Linked DNA regions of Notamacropus eugenii. The protein of the gene in region 2 interacts with the protein of the main gene of each other region in a pairwise test. Links are inferred from orthologs where the notes say so. Each region holds a gene or a part of one and is shown on either strand. Other genes may lie near its edges. The genes, in order: NEDD9, NAB2, RFC5 and TCEANC.

What was found.
Region 1: the proteins of NAB2 (region 2) and NEDD9 interact in binary tests that used the Homo sapiens proteins (3 or more experiments, as listed by UniProt). The two-hybrid records come from large-scale screens. The link is inferred for Notamacropus eugenii from reciprocal best matches to the Homo sapiens genes NAB2 and NEDD9.
Region 3: the proteins of NAB2 (region 2) and RFC5 interact in binary tests that used the Homo sapiens proteins (3 or more experiments, as listed by UniProt). The link is inferred for Notamacropus eugenii from reciprocal best matches to the Homo sapiens genes NAB2 and RFC5.
Region 4: the proteins of NAB2 (region 2) and TCEANC interact in binary tests that used the Homo sapiens proteins (3 or more experiments, as listed by UniProt). The two-hybrid records come from large-scale screens. The link is inferred for Notamacropus eugenii from reciprocal best matches to the Homo sapiens genes NAB2 and TCEANC.

The regions. Positions count from the first base shown.
Region 1 is NC_092875.1:182,734,881-182,742,079, reverse strand, and holds the start of NEDD9 (enhancer of filamentation 1), read left to right. Parts: upstream 1-4,198; 5' UTR 4,199-4,276; coding exon 4,277-4,288; exon of another isoform or gene 4,289-5,658; intron 5,659-7,199. UniProt on the Homo sapiens protein: Scaffolding protein which plays a central coordinating role for tyrosine-kinase-based signaling related to cell adhesion. As a focal adhesion protein, plays a role in embryonic fibroblast migration.
Region 2 is NC_092874.1:232,432,192-232,439,398, reverse strand, and holds the start of NAB2 (NGFI-A-binding protein 2), read right to left. Parts: upstream 3,019-7,207; 5' UTR 2,647-3,018; coding exon 2,564-2,646; intron 1,051-2,563; coding exon 192-1,050; intron 1-191. Other genes in the region: uncharacterized protein, read left to right, coding at 4,675-5,325, 7,143-7,172. UniProt on the Homo sapiens protein: Acts as a transcriptional repressor for zinc finger transcription factors EGR1 and EGR2. Isoform 2 lacks repression ability.
Region 3 is NC_092875.1:27,516,226-27,524,051, forward strand, and holds the start of RFC5 (replication factor C subunit 5), read right to left. Parts: upstream 3,006-7,826; 5' UTR 2,848-3,005; coding exon 2,780-2,847; intron 1-2,779. UniProt on the Homo sapiens protein: Subunit of the replication factor C (RFC) complex which acts during elongation of primed DNA templates by DNA polymerases delta and epsilon, and is necessary for ATP-dependent loading of proliferating cell nuclear antigen (PCNA) onto primed DNA.
Region 4 is NC_092876.1:377,331,210-377,338,398, reverse strand, and holds the start of TCEANC (transcription elongation factor A N-terminal and central domain-containing protein), read left to right. Parts: upstream 1-4,173; 5' UTR 4,174-4,610; intron 4,611-4,792; exon of another isoform or gene 4,793-4,990; intron 4,991-6,340; exon of another isoform or gene 6,341-6,559; intron 6,560-7,189.

The DNA.
Region 1 (7,199 bases), on a different chromosome or scaffold from region 2:
CCTTCCTCTCTGACAAAAAGAAAAGAAAACCTGAAGCACAATGCTAAAGGGAAATGAAACCTTGGCCAGCACCCATCCACCAAAAGCTCCGTCAATTTTTCTTCCCCAGGAAAAAGCAACTTCTGTACTTTGCATCTAAGCTGTCTGAAGAAACTTTTGCCAAAGCATCAGTTTTACTCATTTGTAGGAAACACGGAAAGCAGACAGCCATGTGTGACCTTCACTGACTGCCGTGCAAGACAGACTGCTCAGCTGGGGCTTGGGGGCTTCAAGCCAACAGGAGCGAACACTTCAAGGCATCCCTCTAAATGAGGAAGAATGAGAAGGGAATGGGGTAAATCATCCTCGGGACTGAGTCCTCCAGTTTATAGGATGTTCAGCATATGGTGATGGAAAGAGCTCTGGACAAGAGAATCAGGAGATCTGGGTTCAAGTATGGGTGGTGCTGTTTCCTAAGCATCTAACCTTGGACCATTCGTTTCACTTACTCACCTCAATTTCCTCACTTCTAAAATAAAGGAGTTAGACTAGTTGACTTCAAAGTTCCCTTAGACCTCATATACTCTAAGACCCAATCTTTTCTAATCTGCTCTAATAAAATGAGCCATTGCAGTAGGATAGATAATAAAAACAGCTAGGTGGCTCAGTGATTAGAGCACTGAGATTACAGTCATGAGACATGAGTTCGAATGTGGCCTCAGACACTCATCAGCTATGTGATCTTGGATCAGTCACTTAGCCATGTTTGACTTAGTGAATCAAATGAGCCGAAGAAGAAAATGGCAAAGCACTGTAGTATCTTTGCCAAGAAAACCCCAAATGGGCTCACAATGCATCAGACACAATTGAAAACAACTAAGTAACAATAGAAGATAAAGGAAGAAACACTAGATTCTGTATAAACACTGATACACAGTAGGGAGATAATCAGGAAGACCTGATTAAATTCTGTCTCTGACACATAGTGTAATCCCTCTGAGGTTCCTTCCCCAATTCCAACTTGCACCTAGAGGGTGGCTGCTACTATGCTCAGAGCCCTAAGGGTAATTCTGAATGGCTGGACTTCTACTACTGTTGTTCACCCACTCCACAACTGTGTTTCCCATTGACATCAGCCATCGAAATTCAATTAGCTTTGAGGAAAGGGTATTTATAGAGGGAAGGAAGGAAGGAAGGAAGGAAGGAAGGAAGGAAGGAAGGAAGGAAGGAAGGAAGGAAGGAAGGAAGGAAGGAAGGAAGGAAGGAAGGAAGAGGAGGGCGTGAGGGAGGATTTATTAAGCACCTACTGTATGTCTGGCACTATGATAAGCACTGCAGATTTCTCATTTGATCCTCACAACATCCGTGGAAGATGTTCACTCAATGGAGTAAAGGGAAATAGAAGTGAAGGGAATTGCCTAAGGTCATACAACTAGCAAGTATCTAAGGGTGGATTTGAACTCAGGTTCTCCTGACTTCAGGTCCAGCACTCTATCCACTCTGCCACCTAACTAGTGGTACATTCTCTCACAAATACACAGAGACCAGGGGAAGAGTAGGATGATGGTAAGCCACACATGTAGAGAACACGTGGATTAAGAGCAAACTTGTAATTCTCAATTACTGGAAGTCCTTCCTTGAGTCCATAGTCAGCATTCTTCTCCAGTACAAGAGGTCATGTTCCCTGGAACTGCTTCATCCTTCTGCTGGCTGGCTAGTTCTCTATATACATGTGGCCATGTTTGCCTCCAGTGTGTGCTCTAGATGCTACTATCCCATCTAGCTATTAACATGGTCATTGAGAGAGAGAGGGAGAGGGAGGGAGAGAGAGAGAGAGAGAGAGAGAGAGAGAGAGAGAGAGAGAGAGAGAGAGTGTAGGGGATGGGGAAGAGAGAAAGAGAAGAGCCTGGCTGGAATCCTCTGAAATGAAATCCTCTACCACTAGACCAGTCCACTATTTTAATGGACAAGTGCTAAAATTTTTCCAGCTACTTAAAGACCCCCAGGGGTATGGTTAGATTGTTCTGGTTAATTACACATACTGTATACTTCTCCACCCAATTACAAAAGAGTTCTCACATGGATAAAGTAATCACACAGTGCAGACAATCCTGTTCACATGCCTTTAAAACCTAATCATGTCTCTGAGGTGGAGAGTTTCCCTTCCTTACAAGCATAACGACTATATGGCCTTGGGCATGGCACTTAACTTCATAGGTAATTTTCCATGATTACACATTTCAGAGCAGAGGCTGGCCTGTATTAGTAGAGAGGCTTTCTTTCTCTGGAGTTCATTACACTAATGAAATCACAGGTCTGATTAAAAACAAAACAAACAAACACAACATTTGATTTTGTTTCTCCAAGGAAATGAACTATGGTCCCATACAACAAATGTAAGATCCCCAAGTGTTGGAAAATGTGTCAATACAGGCAAGTATACTTTTCTCCCTGAGCTTGTTTCCTCATCTTTAAATGGATATGAGAAATCTTGCAATGACCTACTTCAATTCTACTCTACTCAACATGCATTTACTATGTTTCCCCCTGTAATGCCAATCAATGCAACACACCCGAGGGCAGGTGCTGTGAATATATTTGTATATTTATTTAGGGTTGAATTGCAAAGTAATAAGCTCTCTATTTACTCAAAACCAAATCCTATTCAAGAAACCAAAGCGTTATACAATCAGGAGATCCCAAGCCAAGGTCTTCCCTTACACAGCACATCCCCAGTGGTAGCAGAAAATATAACACCATCTACCCCTAGGTCACAATAGGTTATGATCCCCTCAATTCAGAACAAAATGTACAAGTCCTCTGGGGGGTATGTCTTTCTCTCCACACTGCTGTTGCAGGCTCCCACCTGGCATTCTCGGGTGCACACATGCTTTGATGAGCCCAGAGAGTCCAAGTCCAAATCCTAACACTGTTCCAGTCTCCGCTTCAAAGTCCTGAGGGGCAGCTGGGAGAAAGCCAACAGGGTGGGTCCCAGGGGACCACAGCACTTCCCCCATCCCACCATAGACAACTCCGCTTCCCTGGGTCCCAAGTCAACCCAGGGGCACACGGCAGGAAAGCATACTCACTGCTCCTGTCCTGTTGTAAAGTCACCATCTTGACACAGGGCTAATTTGTGAACAGAGGAGTTTCTCCTCCTTCAGGGTCCGACCACTCCTGGATCCTGCCTGGGTTCACATGCAGACAGCTCCCTGCTCCTGCTCCATATCCCACCTCATGGGAAAAAGGACTGCTCCATTCCAAGCTCTACCTGCTCTTGCCTGGGTCCAGGTACTCTGGCCTGTACCACCCCAACTCCATGACAGCTTATCTTCCTCCAGCACATGGGGAGAGGGTTACTCCAGTCTGGGCTCTGGGCACAGCAAAATAATACATTAACCAGAAAACAACAGATAACTAATCCAGTCTCACTAAGCCCACACTCTCCTTTGGTACTTTATTCCAGTCCAGTGTTTCAGTGTTCTCACAAGGGTTGGTATCAGAGGTGTCTTCTCTCTATCAGAGGTCTCCTCTTCAAGCCTTGATAAGTGATTCACATTCACAGCTGGGGGGGCTCCTTAATAATGGCTAAACATCCTTATATGAGCAAGCCCCCCCAAGGTAGTATCTTGCCTCAGAACATATATATGTGTGTGTGTGTATACATACATGTACATATACATATATATGTATAAAAGGGTGTGTATATATATATATATATATATGTATATATATACCCTTTTAACTAATAAGCTCAGAGCAAGAAGGCACCAAACCTTTGTTACTCAGCACAGCTATGAATTACCAGGGTTCAAAGGAGATTGATCCTTCAGATATTTACAATTTAGTATAAGCCTGGGAAACTGAACTCCAAGAAAAAAAGAATCCCACCTTGCTTACACTTTTCCTCCCCCTGCCCAATGTGCCAAGTATTCTACAGGTGTATCTGTGATATATTTTGGGAGTTCAAAGAAGAAAGTCTTACCTTTACGGAGCTTACATTCTATTAGAGAAAGAGGGGAGAAGGAAGCACTTTGAAAACTCCCAAATTCTATGGAAAAACAAACTATTATTTTCATTATTATTTCCCACTTTCAAGCTTTCAATCTTTCTTTTCAGGAGCCATCGATGATCATTTCTATGACCCCACACCCCAACATGAGACCTGCTTTTGGAAGCTTTTTGAGGAGCTATGAAAAAGAAGAAATCTGTAATTGAATTGAAACCCTGGAGTCACTAGCTTCCTACTCCAGAGCCCCATCATTCCCTGATTTAACAAAGAGAAGAACTGAGAAAAATGTGGGAAACAGTAAGTTGTGATTGGACAGACATATTTTATTTAAGTACTACTTATCTATGTTGACTCAACAGGTGTACTAATATCAGTGAAATGATAATGCAAACTACTTTCTCAATTCCACCAAGGCTTTTAGGTAATATTGGAATAAAAGGACTAATTTTGATCTAGGCAGTGAGACTTTGTTGTGATGAGTCTTTAACACGGACAACAAATCTGAGAATTCTCTGGATGGTCAAGGCAATGCCAGGAGAAATGCCTCTTCCATTCTAAAATCTGACAGGGAATAATCTGAAATATTTCAAGAATAATCCATGAACTAGGGCTAGTGGCTAAAAACATCTAAATATTGCAGCCTTATTCAGGGAACAATTTCCCCAGGTTGGGAATGATTTGGATCTCTGATGTCTCCCCTACTTTTTATTCTTCTATTTTTCCTTGGGGATGAACACAAGATTTCATTGCTGATCATTAAACAAAGTCCTGGAGAAGAAGGGGTCATATCTTACAAAAATCATTCTCAATCACTTTTCCTACTTAGGACAGACAGTGTTGTGTCAGTAATGCTTAATGGTTTGGTGAGAAATGAGATTGACTGACTGTGATGGGATTTGTAGACTCTTTGTTAAGGTCTGTTATATGAGCTTTCTGCCTTATGGATAATTGAAAGTTAATTGCCTTTGATGTATGGATTGGTTTTGCAGATTTTTTTCTACTCTTTTTCTTTTTATTAAAATTCTTTGGTATAAGGGATAACTCTCTAGATGGAGAAGATATACAAGAGGAAGGCTATTGCTGTTCAGTCATTTCAGCTGTGTCTGACTCTTGCTGACCCTATCTAGGGTTTGTTGGGTTTTGTTATGTTTTTTGGCAGAGATACTGGAGTAGTTTGCCATTTCCTTCTCTAATTCATTTTACAGATAAGGAAACTGAGGCAAACAGGGCGAAGGGACTTACTCTGGGTCACACAGTTAGTAAGTGTTTGAAGCCAAATTTGAAGACAAATCTTCAAACAAATCTTCCTGACTCTAGGCCTGGCACTCTATCTACTCTGTCACCTAGCTACCTAAGAGGAAGCCTAGGAGATGTAAAAAAGGAAAGATGTCAGTAAAAATTTATTTTCAAAAAAGAAAACTAACTTCCTAGTACTAAAATATATATTATACTATTCAAGCAGTAGTGGTAATGGTAGTATATGTTAGGCTGAGCTAATGGGGTGTGGGGGCAGCGTTGTCATTCCCTGTCACTGACCTTTCACCTTTGTATGAATCTGATTTCCCCTTTTCCAGCCATTCCCTGGGTTCTTCTCAGAAATTACTTTCTCAGGCTATTCCCTTGGCTTCACCCCATTGGCATGACTTGGTTTTCTTTATAAGCCATACCTACAGGGGGAAAAAACAGTGGAAAAGGAAGGAGTCAAGATATACCTCCCATACCAGAATTTTATCTTAGCCTCCCCCAACCAAAGCTGCTGACGAGTTTACCTATAATGATTCAGGTTTAAGTTTCTCTCTCTGCATCAGTTAAGTTATAAAATTGAATCAACAATTCTCTTTTGTTCATTCTGAGCCTATAGGCCAGGAAATAGCCCTGTAATTGTAAAATTTATCTCCCTCATTCTCACCTGCCTCCAACACCCCACCCCCAACCCCTGGTCTTTTGCTCTCTCTGATACATTTTAGTGAAGAAAAACAAGTCCCTAATGATATGGTTAACAATGTTGTGACAGTTTTTTTTTTTAAAAGACAATTGAAGACATGGTGAGGAGGAAGGAAAATCAGGTTTATAGAATCAAACATAAGCTTCAGGAACAGATTCCAGGTTTCCTGAAAATGGAGAGGCAGGGGAAAGGAGAAGGTTTCAATAATCCTTAAACATTTCAGAGCAGAAAACATTTTAAAATATCACAAAATGTCAATTGTAGATCAATGTCTTCTTCATTCCGCTTATTCATTACTGAAGGAGTTTCTTCAGAATAAGCAGGTCTATTTAGAATTCACTGGATTTCAGATTCAACGTGGACCTCAATTACTGCAAATGGCTCTATTGATGCCCAATTTTTCTAAGGCCAATCTTGGTGTCAGGATATTTTGAGGCATTTTGATGCCTCAAGCTCACTTGTCAGTAAAAGCGCTGTGCTGAGCTTGGCAGAAGACTTTCCTCTCACTCAAAGTCACAGTGAATGCAAGATGAACATTCCAACAGAAGACACTGGTGAGCTGGGGGGGGCCATTTAAGTCTAGTGGCAAGTAATCACCACCAGTTATGACTGCCCCTGCGGCACAGTCCAGTAAAATAGGATTTGCCTAGATCTGCTTCATGGCACCTGGATCCTGCCTTTGAGGCCTGTATTGGTGCTGGCCACTTCCCATTATTACAACCCTGGCTCCCATTTCCATGATGGTTTTTCTTCAAACCACTATTTTTCCATTCAACAACTCGTCCTCATCCTTAGGGGCAGTTTCTCTCAAGTTAGCCTCTTGCTAACTTGAAATATACTTTCTACTCCCTGGTTTCCTCTTTTCCTTTCCCTTAGTTTTAGAGGGCTGACGTCCATCAAAGCCTAGCTCTAAGTACTCACAGGGTCAAGATAGCTCCCTTGGGGAAGAAGGAGAACTTAGATTTCTACTCACCAATGGGATCCAGAATCTTGTCATTGTATATATACACAGAAAAGAGTTATGACAGCACTGATGGAGGGCTAACCTTGGAGTCAGGAAAACCTGTGTTCAAATCCTATATCTGAAACATACCAGCCATTTGACCATGGGAAATTGTTTAACCTCTTAATGACCCAGGCAGCTCAGTACAATTACAGATAAACTGTCAACCTGCGAGAGTAAAGGGAGTTTCTTCAATGGGAATTCCCTATATAGATAAAATTACAGATCCAGTTCCTTCCCCTTACTTAAAAAAAACTCTA
Region 2 (7,207 bases):
GGTTCTCTTTTATATCAAACTTTTCCATTCTGGTGGGGATGAGGGCTTCTGTCAAGTCAGGTATAGGAGCCAACAATCTGAGGAACCTATAGGTACTGAAGGAGGTCAGGGATTTCTAGAGATTATAGCATGGGCAGGGGGAGGAGGGGAGAAAGGTCAATGAACTCTGAGGGGGACCCTGAGGTCCTTACCTCATGCAGACTGAGCTGTTTGCCTTCCCTGCGCTTGGAGTCAAAGCGTCCATAGATAATGCTGTACTTTCTGATTTCTTCCTCTTTGTGACTGTCATTGTCATCCATCTCAAAGATGTGCCCTACACTTCGAGCTAGCTTCTTATTCAGCTTGAGGAGGGACGTCACCTCCCCAGCGTCTCCCCGGGGGAAGTTCCGGATGAGACGTTCCACACTTTCGATTACCATTCTAACCATTTCTGGTTCTAGTCGATCTGAACCACCGCCCACCCCACCAGACCCGGGCCCTTCTGAGACCCCACCCCCAGCAGGTGGGGAGAAAGGAGGAGAGCTGGCCTCTTCCTCTCCACCAGCACCAACGTCCGACTCGGGAGTGCTCCCGCCTGCCCAGACTCGAGGATCTCCACCTCCCTGGCCCCCAGGCAAGGGAGAGAGTTTCTCTCCTAGTTCTAATGGACTCTTGGGGCTGAAGCTTCGGGCACTGCCCGCCTTGTCTCCTGGGCTTCCGTGTCCATTGCTCATGCTCCCTTTTCGACCACCTGCTGTCTCTGAGATCTTAAAGAGAGGGATGCTGGAAACAGGCACAGCAGGCACAGGCTGACTGAAGAGCCCTGGGTTGGTGGCCCATTCCCTTAATGCCTTTTGCAAACGTCGGACATGGAGAGGTTTGGTGGCCATGCCCACCAGTGCCATGATCTCCAGGAATTCTTCTTCTCCTGCCTCACACAGCTGCTGAACGTCGTCCCCCCCCTGCTGGATGAAGGTCTCATAGTAGGACAAGAGGTTGGCACGCTGCAGGACTCGATACAGCTGCAGCTCCCCCAGTGTCCGGGGTAGTGCCATGGTTGGAACACTGGGCCTAGGAAGGGGCACACAGGAAGAAGATAGGTCAAGGAAGCTCCCTTGGTTTGTCACCAACCCCTCAGTCTATTTTTCCTCCTTGTGAATTGAGAGTTTCTACATTCTGTGTAAGGTTCATTATTCACCTGCTCAAGCTGAAGACTAAGTAGATCTGGGAAAGTGGGAGCTATCCAGAAAGAAGCCAATATACCATGGTAAACTTGCATCAATTAAGAAGTATTTATTAAAATACCTACTATGTGCCATGCACAGCTGTGCATCTGCCACAGCAAATAACAAGTGCTGGTGCCTAACCTCAACAGGACCCAAGGCCCCACAGTCCTCATTCTCTGCCTTCACTCATCATGCTTTTCTCTCATCCTAGCATCAGAAATCCATGGCAGTTAGTGCCACATTTAACTGCCATGCCAGTTAAATTGAAGCCAGTATATACCTAGTATGGCCAAGCACTCCTCCCTCCCCAACATACTCTACAAGCCTCTTCTACTGAGTACACAGTAATATCAAAACTCCACTCCCCAACCCATAGGACATCTCTCTGCTTCTCAGGGCATGACAGAAAGCACCTCTGATCTGCTCTACTTCTCAGTGGGCTTCAAGAAGAGCTCAGGGAAAATAGGGCCTCCCCCAGCCCCAGTTCTCTGAAAGCTGAGCTGAAAGGGGTGTGGCTCATCCCCTACCCACCCAAGCAGCACTTCCCTTCCCCCACCAGCAACTTCCAAGGCCTTGACCTTCTGTCCATACTGCTCCTTTTCTGAGTGTCCCCGCTCCCCATCTTTGTAGTGACCTTCTTCCACCCCTTCTATGGCCCCCAAGGCCTCCCAGGCCCTGGTGCCAAGGGAAAGAAGGATAGGGGTGTATTCATTGTTCCCTTCAGGAGCTGTCCTGCCCACGCAGACTTCCACAGTGGCTGAGTGTGTGGGTGCAAACGCCCCTGGGGCCCCCACCTCCTACCTCCCACCTCTTCCCTATTCCTATCCACCTCTGCAGAAGAGGAGGGGAGCGAATGATGGAGGGGCTACAATAGAGGCCCCTTGCACTCAAGCTGTGTACAAAGAACCAGAAATTAAGGGAAATTAATGCATCCCTTTCTGTCCTAGGAGATAGCTCTGTGTTCTCTTCCTTCAAAGAGGTCTGCTTCTAGCAACTGAAAAGCCTGTTTTCTCTTTCTCGTGCCGTCCTAAAGCTAAACCAGTCGGGGGCGCCGAGGCCAACCCTAAGCGATGGGGCTTGCCCTAGGGATGGAGCTTCCTAGTTCCAGATACCAACTACCCCGTCAAGCTGTGCCTGGGGCAGGAAATGAGGGACTAGGTAATATTCTCCTTATACTCGGCACTAACAGAGCCCTGGGCCTCCTTTTCTATGGACTCACAGCCCCCACCCTTTTTCTCCTCACCTTCATCCCACTCCCTCTCGATTCTGTTTTCTTTCTGAGCTCCCCATACCCAGTCCCCCTCCAGAATCATTTCACTGCCTGCCCAGCCCAGCCCAGCCCACTTCTCCCCACTCACTTGGCTCTGGGCTGCGGGGTCCGGCGGGCGCTGTCCCCTCCGCCCGGCGGCTGCTCAGCAGTAGGGGAGGGCGCCCTGTGCATGGACGGTAGGAGACCCTCCGGGGTACCCTTGGCGGTTTCCAGTACTCCTCGCTCTGCTCCAGGAGCTCGGTGCCCAATACCTGGTGCCCAGTGCTCCGTGTAGTGTCCGCCGCTGTCCGGGCTCCGTCCCTGCCTCCACGTCTCCTCTTTCTGTAGCTGTGTCTCGCTGCCTCTGCCCCCCTCCCCGGCTGCGCTTACCGCCTCCTCCCCCGCAGGACGCACGGGGGAGCGGGCCCGGCGCTGCGCTGGTTGCCGGGCGGGCTGGGGGCGTGGGCAAAGCTGGAGGCGGTGGGCGGGAGCCGGGACCTCAGCCCGGGAGAGAGAACGGAGAAAGAGACTGGCCGAGCCAGGAGGAAGTTAGGGGGGTGGGGGGTGGGGAAAAGGAGTAGGCGGTGGAAAGACAGAGGCGGGGGCGGATGCGGGGGCGGAGGCGGAGGTGGGGTAGGGGCGGGGACTTGGGGCTGGGGCACCGAGCAGGGGACTAGGTGACCCAGGCCCGGCTGGAGAGGGCGGGCTAGTATCTTAAGGGCGGGACTAGGAGCTTTCTCTGCTGCCCACTCCGGATGCAAAACCCGCCTTCTCTCCGCCCCCGCCCCCACGTGAGTGCCCAAGCAGGCATCCATCCCTGCCCCCCAACTCCAGCTTCCCAGACCCTGCCAACCTGAGAGTGGAGTTCCACTACCACGCACAGGTACGCACAGAGACAGCTACACAAACACAACCACACAGAGAGACACATGCAGAGTCACACCAGCCCCCTACAATCTAGGTCCCTTGGTTCCTAGACCTTCTAGTGTTAGCTTAATGGGGAAGAAGGATGGAGATAGAGACTCGCAGTGTGTGCACTGTGAGACGGTATTTCTGGAAAGGGTCTTCTGGGACAGTATCATCGTCCGGCTGGAAACTCATCTGGTCTCCTACCTTTTAATGGAAAGCCTTTTGATTTTGGATTAGAAGTCAGTTCTAATCTTTCCTCGGCGGCTAGTAAGCCGTATGACCTTGGGCAGATTCCCCTACCTCTCTCCCTGGGCCTCAGTTTCCTCCTCTATTAAAAAAAAAAGCATGATTTTCTCATTTATTTAAAAAAACCCAACTAGTGGGTTGAAAAAAACAATTGCTATGTGTTCCTTCCAGATCTGAATCTACGATATCTCCGAAACCAGAAGGTAATTTTAGAATAGGGTTTAAGGATTTCTGTCACCCTTAGAGATGCTCCCTGACTACATATAACCTCACCCTGTTATTCTGTCTTAGAGGTTTACAGTGGTGTTTGTTATGATAACAGCGGTAGAAATCGGCAGAATGTGTACTGATAATTCTAGGACCCACCAAATAGATTTGTTTACATTTTCTAATGGATACCAGTTTGTTACTTCATAGGGTCAAAGATTGGTTTGCTATTGTGAACCGCGGGACTCTTACTTGGCTTTTAGGCATACCTCAGGTAGTATACCTCAGATAGTAAATTGGAGTCGCCCCCCCCCCCCCCCCAATCCATTTTCCTTTTTATTCATCACTTCTAGTTTATTTTCCTTGGGGCAAACTTCAGCTTGGCTGTTCTACACCAGAAAAGTCATATCCTAAGAAGTAAGGCAGTGCACTGAGGGCATCTGGGGGGAGGCAGGGGGTCTTTTCAGAGCGCTTGGTGATACAGAATAGCTAAATGGCAGGAAATAATGTGTGAAGTTTTCTATATGGGATGGTCTACAGCAGAATTCTAGGGGTGGAGCAATTTCAAATAACCGCCTTTATCCAGATAGTCTTCTCTACCCCCTAACCCCCTGCCTCCCCCATTTCTTTCAGCTCCATATGGTTTTTATTACACTCACTCCCACGGCTGGAAAGGGGGGGGAAGCGGGGGGTACACACCCCACCCCACTCCTCAGGACTCGAAGATAATAAGGGGGGGAACAACAAAGAGAGGAGAGGCAAGCAACCAGGAGAGGACAGCCTTTTCCCCAGCCTCCAAGCCCCCAGACTCTAATTCCACATGCCCTAATTTTCAACAGCGTTCACGCAACACTTGAAATGGACGGGTGGGCGGTGTGCCGGGGAGGGTTAGAGGCACCGGGCGCACTTTCTCTACTTTCGTTGGGTCTACATTCCCTGGAGGTTGGGGCATTTCCTGTCGGGGTGGGGGTGAGACTTGAGCAAATAAGATTGTCCCCTTCACCCTCTCCAAACCACAGGGTGCCCAACATGGGGCGGAGGGAGCTGTGTCCGTCTGCTGGTGGCTGCCCTCACGAGGGTGGGGGGCTCCCTGGAACGCCAGCCCCGGCGCGAGCGTGGGTGGACCCTCCCCCACCCCTCGGTTATTTTTGGGGCCTGAGCTGCCAGCCACCGGCCCCGGGTTTCCACGTGCCCCCCTTCCTGCCCACGCTCCCCATGACGCACATCCTTCCACCCCCGCAGCCTCGGGCTCTCGGCGCCCCCTCCCTGCCTCCTTCCCTCCCACCCGGACGCCCTCTGGAGGCGCCGAGCCCCTGGGTCCGGAGGGAGAGCCGGGAGCGAGGAGAAAGGAGGCCTGAGTCGAGGGCTCGGGGCAGGGCAAAAGAGGAGGTTGGGACGGGACCCGGCCGGGGAGACGGAGGCAGAAGGCGGAGCCGGTTCTTCCTTCCCTCGCCCCCTGCATTCCCTGCCTCGCTGCTGATGTGGGGCAAGAGGAGTTTGGTAGGGACGGTGAGAGCTGTTAGTCCTTGAACTCCCCAAAGAAAAGGAGGGAGCGCTTTCCCCCACACTGTACCCACTGAGGTCGTAGGTTGTATCTGCCGAGGGGGTAAGTTGTGGCAGGGTAGGACAGTGGTGACAATTACTTGGCCTGGAAGGTGTCCTGAATGTTTGAGAGTGTGACTGTATCTTTTGGGGTTGATACTGTGTGTCGCTGTCCAAGTGAATTGTGTGTTCTAGATGCGTGTTTTTGTGCTTGTGAGTGTTTGTATCTCTGGGTTCTTATGAGTGGATTTTGTTATTTTTCAAAATCAATGAATTGTCAGGCTCCACCTTCGGCCACAGCCGCCCCCGCAGCCAGAGCTGCTGAGATGTCTGTTCTCCTCCTCCTCTCAACCATCCTCCAATTCTCCTCCTACTCCTTTCCTCTGAGAACAAGGATTTTCCAGACCTGAGAAAAGGGAGAGACAAAGAAACAAAAACTGGGCCTTAAGAAGCTACATAGAGACACAAAGAGAAATAGAGACAGTAACCAAATTAGAAGCCTGTTCTTTCACGGGAACCAAATGAAAAGAAAAAAAAAACACTTTCTTTATAAGCTTTCCCTCTTCCTCACTCCCTAAACCACTTTCTTGCCTGATTGGGAAAAGGGCCCATTTTTTTCTCTAAGGTCCCATTTCGATTGGTTTTCAAAGCAGAAATAGTGAGCTCTTTATCAGTTTTGAGTTTTCGTATAATGTGCAGTTTATTACATTGGGGACTATACTATTTGTTCACAGACTAATTCTTCCCTTTCCCTGCTTCCTCTAATTTAATTCCTTTTACTAAACATTCAGTAAGTACCCTTGTAAGGCAACTACTGCTTTGTAGAGCATAATGCTGGGTAAGATAGTTCCTACCATTCTGGAGGTATGAGGATATGAGACATAAGTAACCACAGTTTAAAAAATAGCACTTGCTAGGTACTTAGAGGAATTGCAAGAAAAGTGTTGAGTGGATTCTTGAGGGGAAAGTGCTATTAATGACTTAGGGAATACGGAAGGCTTTCTGAAGGAGGTGGTATTTCAATTTGGCCTTAAAGGATAGCTAAGATTTCAAAAGTTTGGGGTGGGTGGAGAAGGGTATTCCAGGCATGGATAATATTGTGTGCGAGAAGAAATGGAGGTGGGGAAATAATAATAACTAACATTAATAGAGCTTACTATGTGTCAGGCCCCGTACTAAGCACTTGACAGTTATTATCTCCTGATATCCTTACAGCAACCCTGATGGGTAGGTGTTATCTTTTTTTATGGATTAGGAAACTGAGGCAAACAGATTAAGTGACTTGCCCAGGGTCGTATCTCTTTTTATGTAAATAGTATTTTATTTTTTCTAATTACATATAAAGACAATTTTCAACATTCATTTTTATAAGATTTTAAGTTCCACATTTTTCTCCCTTCCTTATATTGGGAAAGCAATCCGCTATATGTTATATACGTGCAGTCAGTCACATAGCTCTTAGAAATGCTGGTTGTTCACTAATCCAGATTTGTGTGAGGATTCTATAAGGAGGGAAGTAATATGAATTGATTTAGAGAACAGGGACCCAGGATCTTCAAGCCCAGTTTCCTAAGAAAATGCTTAAGGAAGAGAAAAGCAAAGGATGGGAGGAGGGGAAGTGTTGGAGAAGAAATGGGCAGGGAAACAAAAAGCATCACCAAATGAGTCTCATTGCTTACATGGATTTCTGATCTCACTGGCGTGTGTACTCCCTCCAGTGGTTCAGATCGTGGGTTCTCTAGATGTTCTCATCCCGCATAATTCTTGTCTGTGTTCTTCCCCAGATGCTCCTCAGATGTGGTGCCTTATTGTGATGTGGAAGTGACCTGTGGTTCTCCAAAGCTATGCA
Region 3 (7,826 bases), on a different chromosome or scaffold from region 2:
CTGTCCTGGTTTGTTCAGCAGGATGCCAGTGGGAAGTCAGGAGGCAGAGAACAGGAAAGATCCAGGGTTACTGTTTGGCAAGATAGGGGCAGCAACAGAGGCAGCTAGGGCTCAGTGGACAGAGTGGTGAGACTGGGGTCAGGAAGACCTACCTGAATTCAAACCTTACCTCAGACACTAGTGGTCTGATCCTGGACAAGTTTTATTGTAAAACGGAGATTACAACAATACCTACTGATCCAGGGTTGTTGTAAGGATTGAATGAGATAATATTTGTAATATACCTGACACACAGCCAAGTGCTTAATAAATCCTCCTTTTCTTCTAACAGGACAAAAGTGCAAGAGATTCAAGAGCAGAGGAAGGCTTGTAACTGAACTGACTAACTAAAGATCAAAATTGGGAAGGGAAGTGGAGCTGGAATGGGGTGACGGCCTGGGAAAGTGCACTGTGGGGGTCATGGGAAATATGAAGAAGAGGCTTAGGGAGATAAGTTATGATTAGAGAATGGAATTTTACAATTTTTATCGTGCATATGCAGCCTTGTATATGTACCATTCCATACCACTCTTCCACCTCTGCAAAGAAGGGAGGGAGAAATATTTTCTCAACTCTTCTCCAAGGTAACACTTAATCATTATAAACTAAAAAGTATTCAGCTTTTTTGGGGGCGGGAGAAGTTCTGTTTATTTTGTGCATTCATTAAGAGCTTGTTAAATGCCAGGAACTAAATCTAGCAGAAGAGACAAAAATGGCAAAGACAGAAGCAGTTCATGCCCCCAAAGAGCTTACCTCAGGGCACAGGAGACAATGTGTACACATAAACTGATACAAAATTACATAAAATAAACACAAGGTAATTTTGGGGATGAAAGGGGGAAGCACTAGAAGTTGTGGGGGATCAAGAAAGACCCTGTCTGTAGCAGGAGAGCCCACCTGGCTGAGTTATGGAGGAGGCTGGGGATTCTGAGGGATGGAGGTGAAGGAATGCACTGTAGGCTTGGGTACAACTAGTTCAAAGGTTGGGGGATGGAAAATCATGTGTGAAGGACATTAATTAGGTCAGTATGACTGGATTGCATAAAGGGGAAAAGCAGTATACCAAGTCTGAAAAGAGAGGCTGTGAAGAGCTTTAAGTGCTAATCTAAGAAGTTGGCATTGGATTTTGGAGGCAAAAGGGCCCCCCTGGAGCCCTACGAGCAAAAGCATGACACTGTGAGATAGAGGCTTTGGGAAGATCACATTGGCATCTGGGGGCAATGTGGGCTGACTGTGAGGAATCTGAAATGGGGTTGAGGGTAGGGAATGAGGAAGCTTCAGCACATGTCTAGGTGAGAGTTGTTGGGGGTGGAAGCAGAGACAGGACATGCAGTGGAGGTAAGGCTGACTAGACTCGGGAGTAGGTGGGACATGCAGTCATTGAACTTTCTTGATTCTGCTTACTTTACTCACAAGAACACCTACATCTTTCCAACCTCCTCTAAATTCTTCCTATTGTTTCTTATTAGTGCCTCTGTCTTTCAGCAGACCCTCCAACACTGACGATGCTATCATCTTGGCCAATCTCTGGGTGTGAGATAGAACCACAACATCTTGATTTACAATTTTACTTTTAGTGGATTTGGAATAACCTAACTCCTTCATTTTATGGAAAAGGAAAATACCCAGTCAGGAGATGGTAGTATCTTTCTATGATGGGTGAGTGCCACTGGATCTGAGTATGTAGGTAAAGGGCAGTAAGGTGAAAGGAGACTAGAAAGGCAGGAAGAGTCTAGGACTGGAGACAGGTAGATCCACTAGCAGGCTATTACAACAGTCCAGATATGAGCTGATGAGGGTCGCCACCAGAGTGACAGCAGGAGATAGAGTGATACAGAAGAGGGCATATTTGAAAGATGCTGGAGGTGAAAATGACCAGAGATGTTACAAAGGTGAAATGGACAGATGCTGCAGTGGTGAAACTACCAGAGATGTTGCAAAAGTGAAATGGACAAGAGATGCTGCAGAGGTGAAACTGACAGGCCATGGTACCAAACTGGATCCGGGGGGTGATAGTGAGGAGACCAGGATGACTCCTAGGTTGTGGGTCTGCAGGACTGGGAGAATGGTAGCACCCTTGAAGGTCACAGGGAAGGTAGCAGGTAATGAGGAGAAAATAAGGAGTTCTGTTTTGGACATACTGAGTTTAAGATATCTGCCAGACAACCAGTTCCAGATGCTTGAGAAGCAGTTGGATATATGAGACTGGAGGTCAGTAGAGCGTTTGGGGCAGGAAAAGCAGATTTGAGAATCATCAGCATAGAAATGATAATTAAATCCAGGGGAGCTGATGAGGTCACCAAGTGAAGTGGTGCGGAAGGAGAACATAAAGAGGGTCCTGGACAGAGGGTGTGATCTGAAGGAAGATCCAGCCAAGTCCGAGGCTGAGAAGGACCAGTCAGATAAGGAGGAGGCCCAGAGAGGGGGGTTCCCTGAAAACCTACAGTGGAGACTGTCAAGGAGGGGGAGGGGCCAAGAGCGTCGAGCCCTAAACCGATGACCCTCCGTCACTTTCACTGTTCTCGGCCCTGACCTCACTCGGTGCTCTCTGGGATCGCCCCCACCTCTAACTCTAAGCCCCTACGTGTCCCTTCCCGGGCCTCGGTTTCCTCAACCGTCCTCTGGAATCGCCCTGGGTTCTGAACCCAGCCCCTTGCCCACCTAGGCGCAGTCCCACGCCCGGGTCTGTCTCCAGGCTGCGGGATCCCTGCCCCGCCCCGCCCCGGACGCGGCCCCCTACCAGGGCAGGTTCCTGCTTTTGGCCGCAGGCTGCTGCTGTGGCTGCTGCCGGACGGCCGGGGCCTCCATGGCGGCGCTGACCCTGAGCGGACCCACAGACCTAAGCGCAGCGGGAAATCGGCTAAAGCGCGGCCTGCATCTCCTTTCCCGCCACAGCTCGCGCGCGCGCGCATGCGCCGCCTCTGCTCTCGCGAGACTTGACCAGGCCACCGAGCCCGCCCGGCCCCTGCTATTTTTCTTCCCAGACACCCCTTCGGGAAGTTCGCCCCGCCCATTTCGGTTGCTAAGGCTGGGAGTGGGTTGCTAGGTAACCGCGAGGCTCGCGTCGTGCGCAGGCGCAGTCAGGCCGGGCCTGTCAGAGGCAGGGGCTGGGGACAGAGCATCTGGTCCTGCTGCGTGGCCAGGTCCGGAGAGGCTCGGGCGGAGAGTCTGTGGTAGGAAGGGAGAGCGAGGTCCGGCAAAGAGGGTGAGGGTGCAGGAAAAGCAGGGAGCAGCAGGGATGCATCAGGGGGACGCCGCATGAAAGGAGTCCACGTGTCTGCCTTCCTTCCTCCCTTCCTCCTTCCCTCCTCCCTTCCTCCTTCCCTCCTCCCTTCCTCCTTCCCTCCTCCCTCCCTCTCTTCCTCCTTCCCTCCTCCCTTCCTCCCTTCCCTCCTCCCTTCCTCCTTCCCTCCTCCCTTCCTCCTTCCCTCCTCCCTCCCTCTCTTCCTCCTTCCCTCCTCCCTTCCTTCCTTCTCTCTCTCTCTCTCTCTCTCTCTCTCTCTCTCTCTCTCTCTCTTTCTCTCCCTCTCTCTCTCTCTCCTCCTCTCTCCCTCCCTCCCTTCCCTCCTCCCTCCCTCCCTTCCCTCCTCCCTCCCTCTCTTCCTCCTTCCCTCCTCCCTCCCTCCCTTCCCTCCTCCCTTCCTTCCTTCCTTCTCTCTCTCTCTCTCTCTCTCTCTCTCTCCCCCTCCCTCCCTTTCTCCCTTCCCTTTTCCCTCTCTCCCTCCCTCCCTTCCCTCCTCCTTCCCTTCCTGAGGATATGGGGATATATGGGGATAATGACAGCACCCACCTCATAGAGTTGTGAGGATCAGAGGAAGTCATATTTACAAATGTACCTAGCACATAGTGGGTGCTTTAAAAATCTTTATTCTTTCATTTATTCATTCCCTCCTTCCATTATTAGTGCTTTTATTCATTAATCATTCACTCATTCATTTATTCCTTCCTTCACTCTTTCATTCATTTATTCATCCAACAAGTCGTAACTGCTCTGTGCCAGGCACTGTGCTAAGTCTTGGAGATATCAAGACAAGAAAGGAAAGAGTTTTGCTTTCAAAGAGCTAGCATTCTATTTTTTTTTTTGAGAGAGGATGCTTGGTTGTTCTATGTTTGCTTCCCCTATATCTAGTAATTAAGTCTTCTTGATTTTTACCTCCCCAATACCTCTTGCATTGTCTCCTTTTTTACTATTTTTATAGCCACCAGTAAGTCAGTCCAATACACAAGCATTTATCAGAGTCTTATAAGAGCCAGGCTCTGTGTTAAGCATTGGAGGTACAAAGAAAGGCAAAAACAGGAACACAGGGCCTTGCCCTCAAGGACCTCACCTTCTAAAGGGAGAGACAATGTACAAAAAATTGCACATACCATATATTTATTAATAACAATTAGTATTTCTATACCACTTTATACACGTTTCATTTTATCCTCAGTAGGTGCTATTATCATCTTCATTTTACAGATGAAGAAACTGAGGCAGACAGAGGTTAAATGACTTGCCCAGGGCCACACGGTTTGTAAATTTCTGAGGAAAGATAGGAACTCAGATCTTCCTGACTCCTCATCCAAGGTTCTATCCACTGTACCACCTAGCTGCCTCATATGTATTATAATTTGGAAGGATTCTATCTGGGGTGGAATCTGGTATTTCTGAGATTCCATCCCAGATGGAAGACTCTAGAAATGAATAGTTTAAGAAAGGTTTCCTGCAGAAAGCAGGATTTAAATTGAGCCTTAAAGGAAACCAGAAGGTGACCTAGGAGGAGGTCACCTCTTGCTTGAACTTTTTCAATGACTACTGTCTCCCTGCTCTACCTTTCCCCCAACTTTGGTCTCCTTGATGGAGTGGAATAATTGCTGGATTTGAAGTCTAAGGACCTGCTTTCTAACTGAAGCTTCTGCTACTTGATATGTGTGTGACCTCTGGTAAGTCACAACTTTCTGGTCCTCAGTTTCCTTATCTGTGTTATAATGCAGTTAGACTAGAGGATGACTAGATAAAGGTCTTTCCAGCTTTAGATTTATGATGTTATAATCAACTTCAATACATCATCCACACAGTTCTCAAATGAATATTCCTGTATCATCAATAAGACCATGTCACCACTATGCCCGAGAGATTCCAATGAATCCTATTCCCTGTAGGTTAGAACTCAAACTCCTTAGCTGCTGCTCATTTTTCCTGGCTGATTTTATATTACCCTTGTTCACATGAGCTTAATTCAGGTCAAGTCAGCTAGCATTTTTTAAAGTCCTACTATGTGTCAGATGCTATGCTAAGTGCTGAGGATATAAAGACAGAGAAACAAATGGATGAATGATTGGATAGATGTTTAGTTAAATAAATAGATAAGTGAATGAACAAACAAATGAGTGGATAGATAAATAAAACCAGTCCCTTCTTTCAAACAGTTCACAGTCTTAATGGGAAGAGCCAATCTGGACATCTTGCTGTTTCCTAAACTTGACTCTCCAGCTCCCATCTCCACAATTTTGCACAACCCATTCCCCATCTTTCAAATGCATGCCCTCCTCACTTCTGCCTCTTAGAATTTTTTACTTTCCTTTGAAGTTCCGCTTAGGTGCCATCTCCTCTATTAAACTTTTTCTGATTACCTTAGTGGTTAAAGTTCTTTTCTCCCTCAAATTATCTTGTATTTTAAAATGATGAGTATTGCATTCTCTAGCAGAATGTAAACTGTTGGAGGGTAGGGGGGTGTTTTGTGGCTTTTCATCCCTAGTGCTTAACACAATGTCTTATGTATAGTAGATACTTAATAAGTGCTTGTTGAGTTTCCTTTCCTGGCAGAGTTACAAGGATGATAACCATCTTTCCATCTACCCTCTACTTGCTATTGCTCTGACTAGAGACCGTGCCTTAAAGGATCTGGGTCATTCTACTCTGAATCTCTTGCTCTGAAGCCTCTGTGAACCAGACTGGTGAGAGTCCACTCTGGCCGGTTCTAGATCTGGCCATTCTTCATTCTGGTCATCTTGCCATTTGACTCACCATAAAACCCATTCCCAGCTGTTGATCTGGGGTCAACATTGCCATTACTTTGAAAAAGGTGCATCAAACATGTCAACCAACTGTCCTATTGTCCAACATACCCATCATGTCTGTGTTTTCCCAAGCCAAAACATCCTTCCTTGGCTACCACTCCCCTATACGTGTTGCCTCCCACTCATAGAATATAAACTCCATGGATAAGAACTCCTTCAATTTTGTATTTGTATTTCCAATCAGTTGATCAGTCAACATTCATTTATTAAATGCTGTAAGAGCAGGCATTCTGTTAGGTTTCAGGGATGTAGCTACAGCACAGTGCCTGGAACGTAGTGAGGGCTAATAAATGTTTCATTTCACTCATTCATACCTCAGTTTCAGCAAAGCACTTGACAAAAATCTTTCACACTATTCATGTGGAAAAGATGTAGCCCAGACAATAGCAAAATAGTATGATTTCAGAACTCATTGAATGTTCAGAATCAGAGTAATCATTTATAATTTGATGTCCTATATGTTCTAAAATATTTGTAACAGCTCTCTTTGTTTTGGTAAAGAACTGGAAACTGAGGGGATGTCCATCAATTGGGGAATGACTAAACAAGCTGTGGCGTATGATTTGATGAAATACTATTATGCCATAAGAAATGATAAACTGATTGATTTTTAGAAAAACATGGAAAGACTTGCATGAAATAATAAAAAGTGAAATGAGAAGAACCATAAGAATATTGTATATATAACTGCAATATTGTTTGAAGAATAATTGTGAACAACCAGATTAGTCTGAGCATTATAAATACTCAAATCAGCTAAAAAGGGCCCATGAAGGAAGATACTATCTACTTCCAGAGAAAGAACTGATAAACAGAAGTATGCATAGTATAATTTTAGATATATTTATAAATCTGTGTTAAATAGTGGCTTTCTCTAGTGTGGGATGGGGAGGGAGGGAGGAAGACAGTTTGGAACTGAAAATGTAACAAATAAATAAAATTTAAAAAATATCTTGGTGTCACCTTGAAGGGAGGTTTCTAATGCAGAGATATCTGCTTAGCTTTGTAGCCTTGTACTAATGTTTGAAATCAAACACTTGAATGAAGGCATCATTTAACAATTTAATGCAGCCCTACTGTGTGTAACACATTGTCCTAGCTTCTGGGAATATAAAGATGAAAACAAAAACATTTGAGACCTCAAGAAGCTGACATTTTTCATCGAAAACCTGCTTATCAAAAGTGCAGATAGATGACATGAAACTGGGGAGGGGCAGAGACACTATATTGAACAATAATATGGAGAATTACAAATTTTGCAAAGTGCTTCCTATATACTATTTAAACCTCACATAACCTTGTTAGGTGTTATTATCTGCAGTTCACAGATGATGGCAAATGAGTCTCAGAGAAGTCAAGAGATTTGCCCAGGGTTACAGAGCTAGTGAATGTTAAGGACAGAATTGGAACCAGAGTCAGGGGCCTGAAATCTCCTGACAGCCTAGAATAGTTGTGTTACGTGGCTCCTTCTATACTCTTCTCTACCTATTTTTAAATGTTTCACAGCTGCCCTTTCTTATCTTTTCTTTTTATTTGCATCATCATCACTGTTGTCCCTCCTCCAAATAAAAACCTTTCCTTGTAACAAATAAATATAATCAAGCAAAGTAAATCCACACATTGGTCCTGGGTGAAAGTGCATGTCTTTCTGTACCTCTAGTCCAGGGGTGGGGAACCTGTGGCTTCAAGACCACATGTGGTCACACTTTGGTTTGGATTTAGTC
Region 4 (7,189 bases), on a different chromosome or scaffold from region 2:
GGTGTGGCTAAGACTAAACTCTGTTTGTGGCAGAAATTGTTTGGCATTGTCTCCTGTTATGGTTTAGACTTAGGCTGAGTTGGATCCTCACTGCCTTCAGGGGTGGGGAACCTGCAGTCTCAAGGCCACATGTGACTCCCTAGGTCCTCAAGTGCAGCCCTTTGACTGAATTAAAACTTAACAGACCAAATCCCCTAATATATAAGGATTTGTTCCGTAAAACTTGGACTCAGTCAAAAGGCCTCACTGAAAGACCTAGAAGGCCACATGTGACCTCTAGTTCCACAAGTTCCCCAACCTTGTACAATTAAACGATGCTCCCAAACCTGTCCTGCTGCAGCTAGGGTTCTGAGGCTGCCCTGTGCTGGTCACTGGCCTTTCTCCCTGTAGAGTGTAGGACTGCAGTTTTAGAATTCTACTGAGGATGTTTTGAGAATCTGGGCTTCTCTAGGTCCTAATAAAAGGCCATCTTCCTATAATTCTCCCAGTAATCTCCCCTCCTAATTTATGAGAATGAACTTCAGAAATGCATTTTGCTATTTCATATTTTAAATAGTAAAAAATAGTGTCTTATTGAGTAGTTACTGATTCATAGTGCACAATCTATGCTAACAAAATCAAAATGGAAAAAGTCTGCTTTTAAGTCGTATTTCAAGTTGCAAGTTGTCAAAGTTCTTATTTTTCAAAAAGTGAGCATAATGCTGCCCTCTGCTGTACAGTACTGACACAATAGTATTTTTTAATCACAAATTTATCTAATATAATTTAAAGCCAACCTACACCATAAGAATAAACTCTATTTCATGCAACAATGTATATGTTGTTGACAAAAACGTAAATACCCCTAGAGAAATTTTCATTTCAATAATTATTGAGTACTTTACCTTGCAAAGAATTGCACTAAGCAGTCTTCCAGGTAGCTGGTGAATAATCAGTTTAACAATTCAATCATTTTAACCACTTGGACATGGAAGGAAGGAAAAACATAAGGGCAACGGGGGCCCAAGGAAGAGAAGAGGTGGAGCAGAGTTTATAAAGGAAAGCATCACCATCCCTTCAGTCACCTAGGATTACAAACTCTGCACCATCCTTAATTCTTTCCTCTCTGTTGAACCTCCCAATTCCAATCAGTTATCAAGACTTACTGCTTCTATCTTTACAATATTTCCTTCCTCTCTACTCTCATTGAAACTACCCTTGTCACCTTCTACCTGAACCACTGAAGTAGCCTCCTGACTGGATTCCCAGATATCAGTCTCTCCTCCCTTCACCCCTACCCTCACCTTCACACACACCCCACCCAGTCCACCCACCCCCTGCATCCATCTTGCATACAGTTGCCAAAATAACCTTCCTTAAAAACCAAGTCTGACAGTATCATTGGCCTGCTCTAGAGCTGTGAGGTACTCCCTACTGCTTCCAAGATAACCTATAAACTCTGGGCCATCTCTGGCTGTCCTGATGAATGCCATGCCACTGGACCCAGATGGCTAAGGAGAAGAAAGTGAGATTGGTGACCTTGCACAGCCCTCCCTCACTCAAATCAAAGTCTACTGAAAGTCATGTCATGAGGTCACAATCCTCTTCAGGAACAAAGGACAAACACAACAACAACAATAAATTCCTCACCTTGCAATATAAAGCCCTTCATTTTTGAATTCTGATTTAGCTTCCCAGGGTTTAAAGCACATTAGTCCCATTCACACAGTCTACGTTTCAGCCTTTTCCCAAAATGGGCATTCTATCTCTGCTTTCTGTATTTTCACATTGGCTATCTTCTCTACCCAGAATGCACTCCTTCCTTACCTCTACCTCTTCAAAACCCTGGTTTCCTTCAAGGCTCAGCTGATATTCAGAAGACTTATAGAACCTCCTAGTTGTTAGTACTTTTTCCTTCTTACTCCAATTAATGTATGTTTTTACCTGTTTACATATTACATCCTGACAGTATATTGTCAGCAGAAGCTCAGAAGGAGCAGCATGGTTCCCATTTTTCAAAAATTATCTCCAGTGCCTAGCAGAGTGTCTTATACAGAGAAGGCACTTAGTAAATATTTGATTGGATTGGTTGGTTTGGAAGCTGGGAGGTAACAACACAAATTGACTGGAAGGTAACAAATACAAAAGACGATACAAACTACTCTCGCCAAGGACTATAGCAATAAGGACCATATGCTACCACAAACTGATTGTTGCTGATGTCTAAATTAAAATATCGGAATGATTTTTAAAATTTATTTTAGTTTTCAACATTCACTTTCATAAGTTTTAAATTTTTTCCGCACCCCTTCCCCAAGATGGCATGCAATATGATATGGCTGTACACATACATTCCTATTAAACACATTTTCGTATGTCATGTTGCATAGAAAAATTATAAAGAATGGGTACATGAGAAAGAAAAAACAAAACAAAAAAAATAAAATGGTCTGCTTCGTTCTGCATTCCAGCTCCATAATTCTTCCTCTGGATGATAATGGCATTACCACCATGAATCCTTTGAAATTGTTTTAGGTCCCTGCATTTCTAAGTCTATCAAAATCAGTCACTGCACACTGTCAAAATGATTTTGAAAGGTTTCAAACCTCATTTTCCTCCATTTCATCCCAGTATTTCTAATCTAGCTTTGTCAGGTCCCAATCTCTTCATCTCAGCAAAATCTTCTCCTGTTCACTCTCCCTTGCTAAGAAGAAACAGAGAAACGCGCGCGCACGCGCACGCGCACGCGCGCACGCACGCACGCACGCACACACACACACACGCACACGCGCACACACGCACACACACACACACGCACACACGCACACACGCACACACACACACGCACACACGCACACACGCACACACACACACACACACACACACACCCCTTTTATCCTCACAGCCTTATTATCAGTACATTGTCCAGTTAAATCTTTGGAACTTTGGAATTTTACCTTAATGACTCAGTTGATGTTAGGAATAAGGGAGAGTAGGGTGATAGAAATAAAGGTAAATACTTGGTAAGACTTCTAAATGGTGATTTATATGACCTAGAGAAGTCATTCAATTGTAGCATAGCCCTCCCTACCTTTTCTCCCAGTTACACCTAAATTTAAGGTAAACTTTATGTTAGTATCCATTCATTTCCACAGCAAATAGGCTTCCTGATACTTCCCTCTTTTGAGAAGATATTCTGACTCAAAACAAAGCCATTTAATAGCTTTGGAAAATAATGAGAAAAACTTCCCCATATACAACAGGCACACTCTTTCACAGATTCCCATACCGTTGATGGGAGAGGGAACAAAGTGGTCTGACCAACTCAGAATCCTAAGATTGTGCCCCAGATGAATTATGCCCTAGACCTCCAAAACTCCCAACTGTTTTCACCAAAAAACTTCACCAACGCGCTGATGATGTCATCTACTAGGCTGTTTTACTGAATAGAGCTTGCCATCTGCTACTTCTCCACTGCCGGGGGCCTCTTTTCCACAGAGGAATGGTTAAAGCTCTTTTGCGAATCATCTCATAATTTCAGTGCTATTTGAGTTCTTTTGTGAGTCCATACTCAGCTAGAATAGCAAGACTCTCTTAAGTCAAATATATATTTTTCTGATTACTACAATTCCTCCTAAGTCAAAACTCTCCCATCTCTTCCACAAAGTTTCCCCATTGACTATGAGTTCCTTGAGAGTAAAAACTGCTGGGTTTTGCCTCTCTTTTTATCCCCAGAGTGTTTGGCATATAGTGGCACTTAATAAACGTTCACGGATCTCTAATTTTCAATCTTTTCTTTGTAGGATTACAAAAGAAACCAGTTCTATTGCAAGTTATACAATTTTTTAAGTTCATGAACCCCAGGTTATGAACCCCCAAGGGGATTCAACACTGAGATGCCATCCAATAAATATTTTCCCCAAAGGCAAATTCTAACTTCGTGCCTGTATTTGCCTGCCCTTTCAGATAACGAGAAACGTTCAGAAACATGTGCTCCTTCCACAGAAAGAACTTGAGATGAAATATTTCCCAACCAATTTCTAACGGAAGAGGCATCTTTTTTCCTGTCTGGTTACAATCCAGGTTTATAGCAAGGTGTCCAACAGACACTGAGTTAAGCAGCTGGAATGTGCCAGGCACTAAATCAAGAACAAAAAACTAGGCCCCGCCTCAAGGGGCTCCCTTCCTCTGGTCTGGCCGGCTGTCAGTCCGTCATTCAAAGCATCAGGAAAGTGACGTCATGACTTGCAAGTGAATTGGATTTAAGTGAGGAAGTCTCGTAGTCACGGAGAGCTGACGTTATTAGGTTCAACTTAAATGTGCATCTGGGATCTTGGGCCAAATAAAAGGGAGATTCCTATTCCTGACTGAGATGACGCAGTCGGAAGGCACGGCAGGGAATCCACAGAAACGGGAAGCAAAGAGACTGATAGGACGGGCGGAAGAAAACTCCGTAGATCGCACTGCGCATGCTTCAATCACGTATGCGTCTCGCCTTGGCTCCTCTGATTGGTTGAGCGTCTCCCCTTCTCTCCAATCCTCTTCTTCCTTTCTCTCCCACCCTCTGTGAGCAGAAGTCGTGTCCGGCAGGCTGTTAGCTTCCCCTAACTGTCGCGTCTACCTGCGGACAGGTGAGCAGGGTGCGAGGGTCAGCCCTGGGGAGAAAGGCGAACCGCAGGAAGCCTCCCCTTGGACGCTAACGAGGCAGTGGGGAAGGGAGCTCGGGGACGGTTACGGCCCCGCCTTTTCCTAGCAGAGGTGGGGGTTGGGGGGGGAAGAGGGGAAGGGCGCAGCCGCAGTCCAGGCTTCTCGCGCCTCCCCCCCGTCCTGTGACCTCTCCGGTCACCCCCAGCCTTGGCTTGGCGCGGGGGACGGGCGTTGCATTCTGCCCCTCCTCCCGTTTCCGGTGTCCCGCTGCCTCGGGCTGGAGATTGCTTTAGTTTCCACGGACTCCTAGATGTAGACTTAGAAGGGATCTTAAAAGCCCCTGAATCCGCCCCTCGTTTTACTGGTGAGGATGCTAAGTTTAAAATTCGATATTCAAAAATATTTAATTCTTGTGGAATTGTTTATTCCATTTTATTCAAGTTTTTAATTTCCCACACTTTTGTCTGAGTTTCAGCAACTAGAAAGGAATTTTTCTCTTTTAACTCTTTTTGAAGGTGGGGGGGGATTTTAAATTTGAGATTTTATTGTATTCCAGCGAGGGAACCCCCACCTTGACATGCAGCTTGTAGAGTGAGCGGGCATGCTGCTGTTACTAAGAACAAAGGCAGATCTGTTTTCCAGACATGTTGGACCTGTACAGTGTTGCCAATACCATGCTATGAAGTGTGAGAGATAAGAAAAGGAGTTTTTAGTCAGTTTCTCGTACCTCCTCAACGCATGTGTGAAGTCAGGTTAAAATCAATACTGGGGACAAAAGTTACAATAAAGGTCATATCAAAGGTTTGTCTACAAGGGGTAGAGCCTTTTTTCTGGGGATGGTGGGAGATGGGGAATATAAGTGGAATTTTTTTTAGATTATCATTCAACACATTTTTTAAGCATTTCTCTATGTCAGATGCTAGGCTGATCTCTGGGGAAGTCACAAAAAAGCCGAACAAACCGGTCCCTACTCTCAGATTTTTTTTTTAAAGCCTCAACTGAGTTTCATACTCTTAAGGGTGGGAAGTGAGCTAAAAAATAGGAAGTGTAGTTTAGTGAGCCAGGATTGACTGTGTTATCTTCATCCATATGTTACCAGAAACATTTTCATTGAATACAGTTCTCAATGATTTTATACCACCCGTCCTCATTCCATTTTCTGAGATTAAGCAAACTTGCAATCTAGTTAAAGATTACATTTCTCAAAACAAAGTGAAGTGTTAAGGTAATTAAGTGACAGGCAGGATTATGAAGATCATCCTTTGTAGGTCCCCCAGCATTGTTGCCCCTAGACTTTGAGGGGAGCCTTTCACCAATAGGTATTTCCATCATTGACAGCTTGTCATATGAGGATGCAGCTGTGAAAATACATATGATTGGTTATTTAGATATATTTGGAGCTAGTTACATCACAGTGTACTTACAAGTAACTTTTACTATCTGCTTCCTAGAATTACTCCAAATTGTAACCATGTTCATTACTGTTCAATTGAAATAGGAACCCCCTTGAAAGAACTTTTTAGTTCTTTAGTTTACAAAGTAAAACTTGCTCTGTAACTAGGAAGAAATATAAAGTCTAGAATGCAGAAAAAACATTTCTGTTATCAGTTAAGTGTGGAAAAACCTCATAGGAAATGGATAAAAAACTCTTGCTAAAAAATAAAACTGCAGACCTTGTCCCATACAAAGAAATCTCTGTCAATTCTCATTACAGGATGGTAGTTTTTGGGGATTTTTTGCGCGACAAAATTCTGAAGAGACACTTTCCCTGAAAGGCCAGTTGTCCACAGTATAATTCGAAGACTTACCATGTAACCATAAATGCTGAGGAACTAGAAAATGCAGACAAAGTATGATAATGCTGTCATTACCTTTGTTGCCACCGCCTGAGGACAGGAAAGATGATATAAGCTTACCCACTATGTATAGACAGGTAATTACAGATTTATAGCATGCTTAGCAGTATATAGCTTTCTCCAGTTAGTATGGAGTTCCCTAATACTAGAGAGCTATGCTTAGGTTCCTGAGTCCATTTTATTTATTAAAAAAATGATAATTTTTGTTTTGACACAGCAGACACTTTTCAACCAAAGCAGAGCTTCTCTCTCCACTAATCAACAAGAATTAAGCAATTGTTATTCATGGAACATAGAAACAAAAGTAAAACATCAGCTCCTGTCCTCAAGAAGCTTACCAGAGAGGCAATGTACATACAAGAATATACAGAGTATATGCAAAATGAATACAGGGTCATTTTGATAGGGAGTAAACTCTCAGAGAGGCTTCATATGAGCTGGAGCTGAAAAGTAATCAAGATTATGAGAGGCAGAATTTAAAAGAGAAAGAAAGCATCCCAGACCTCTAAAGCAGCCCATGTAAAGACTTGGAGACAGGAAATGCAGTTATATGTGTGTGAAATACCAAATAGGCTAGAATGGCTGGATCATAGAGAACATTGAAGGTAATAATATGTAAAAAGACTGGAAAGGTATAAAGGGACCAGGTTATGAAGATAGGTCAAACAGGAATTTATGTTTGATCTTAAATCTCTAGAATTTTTGTA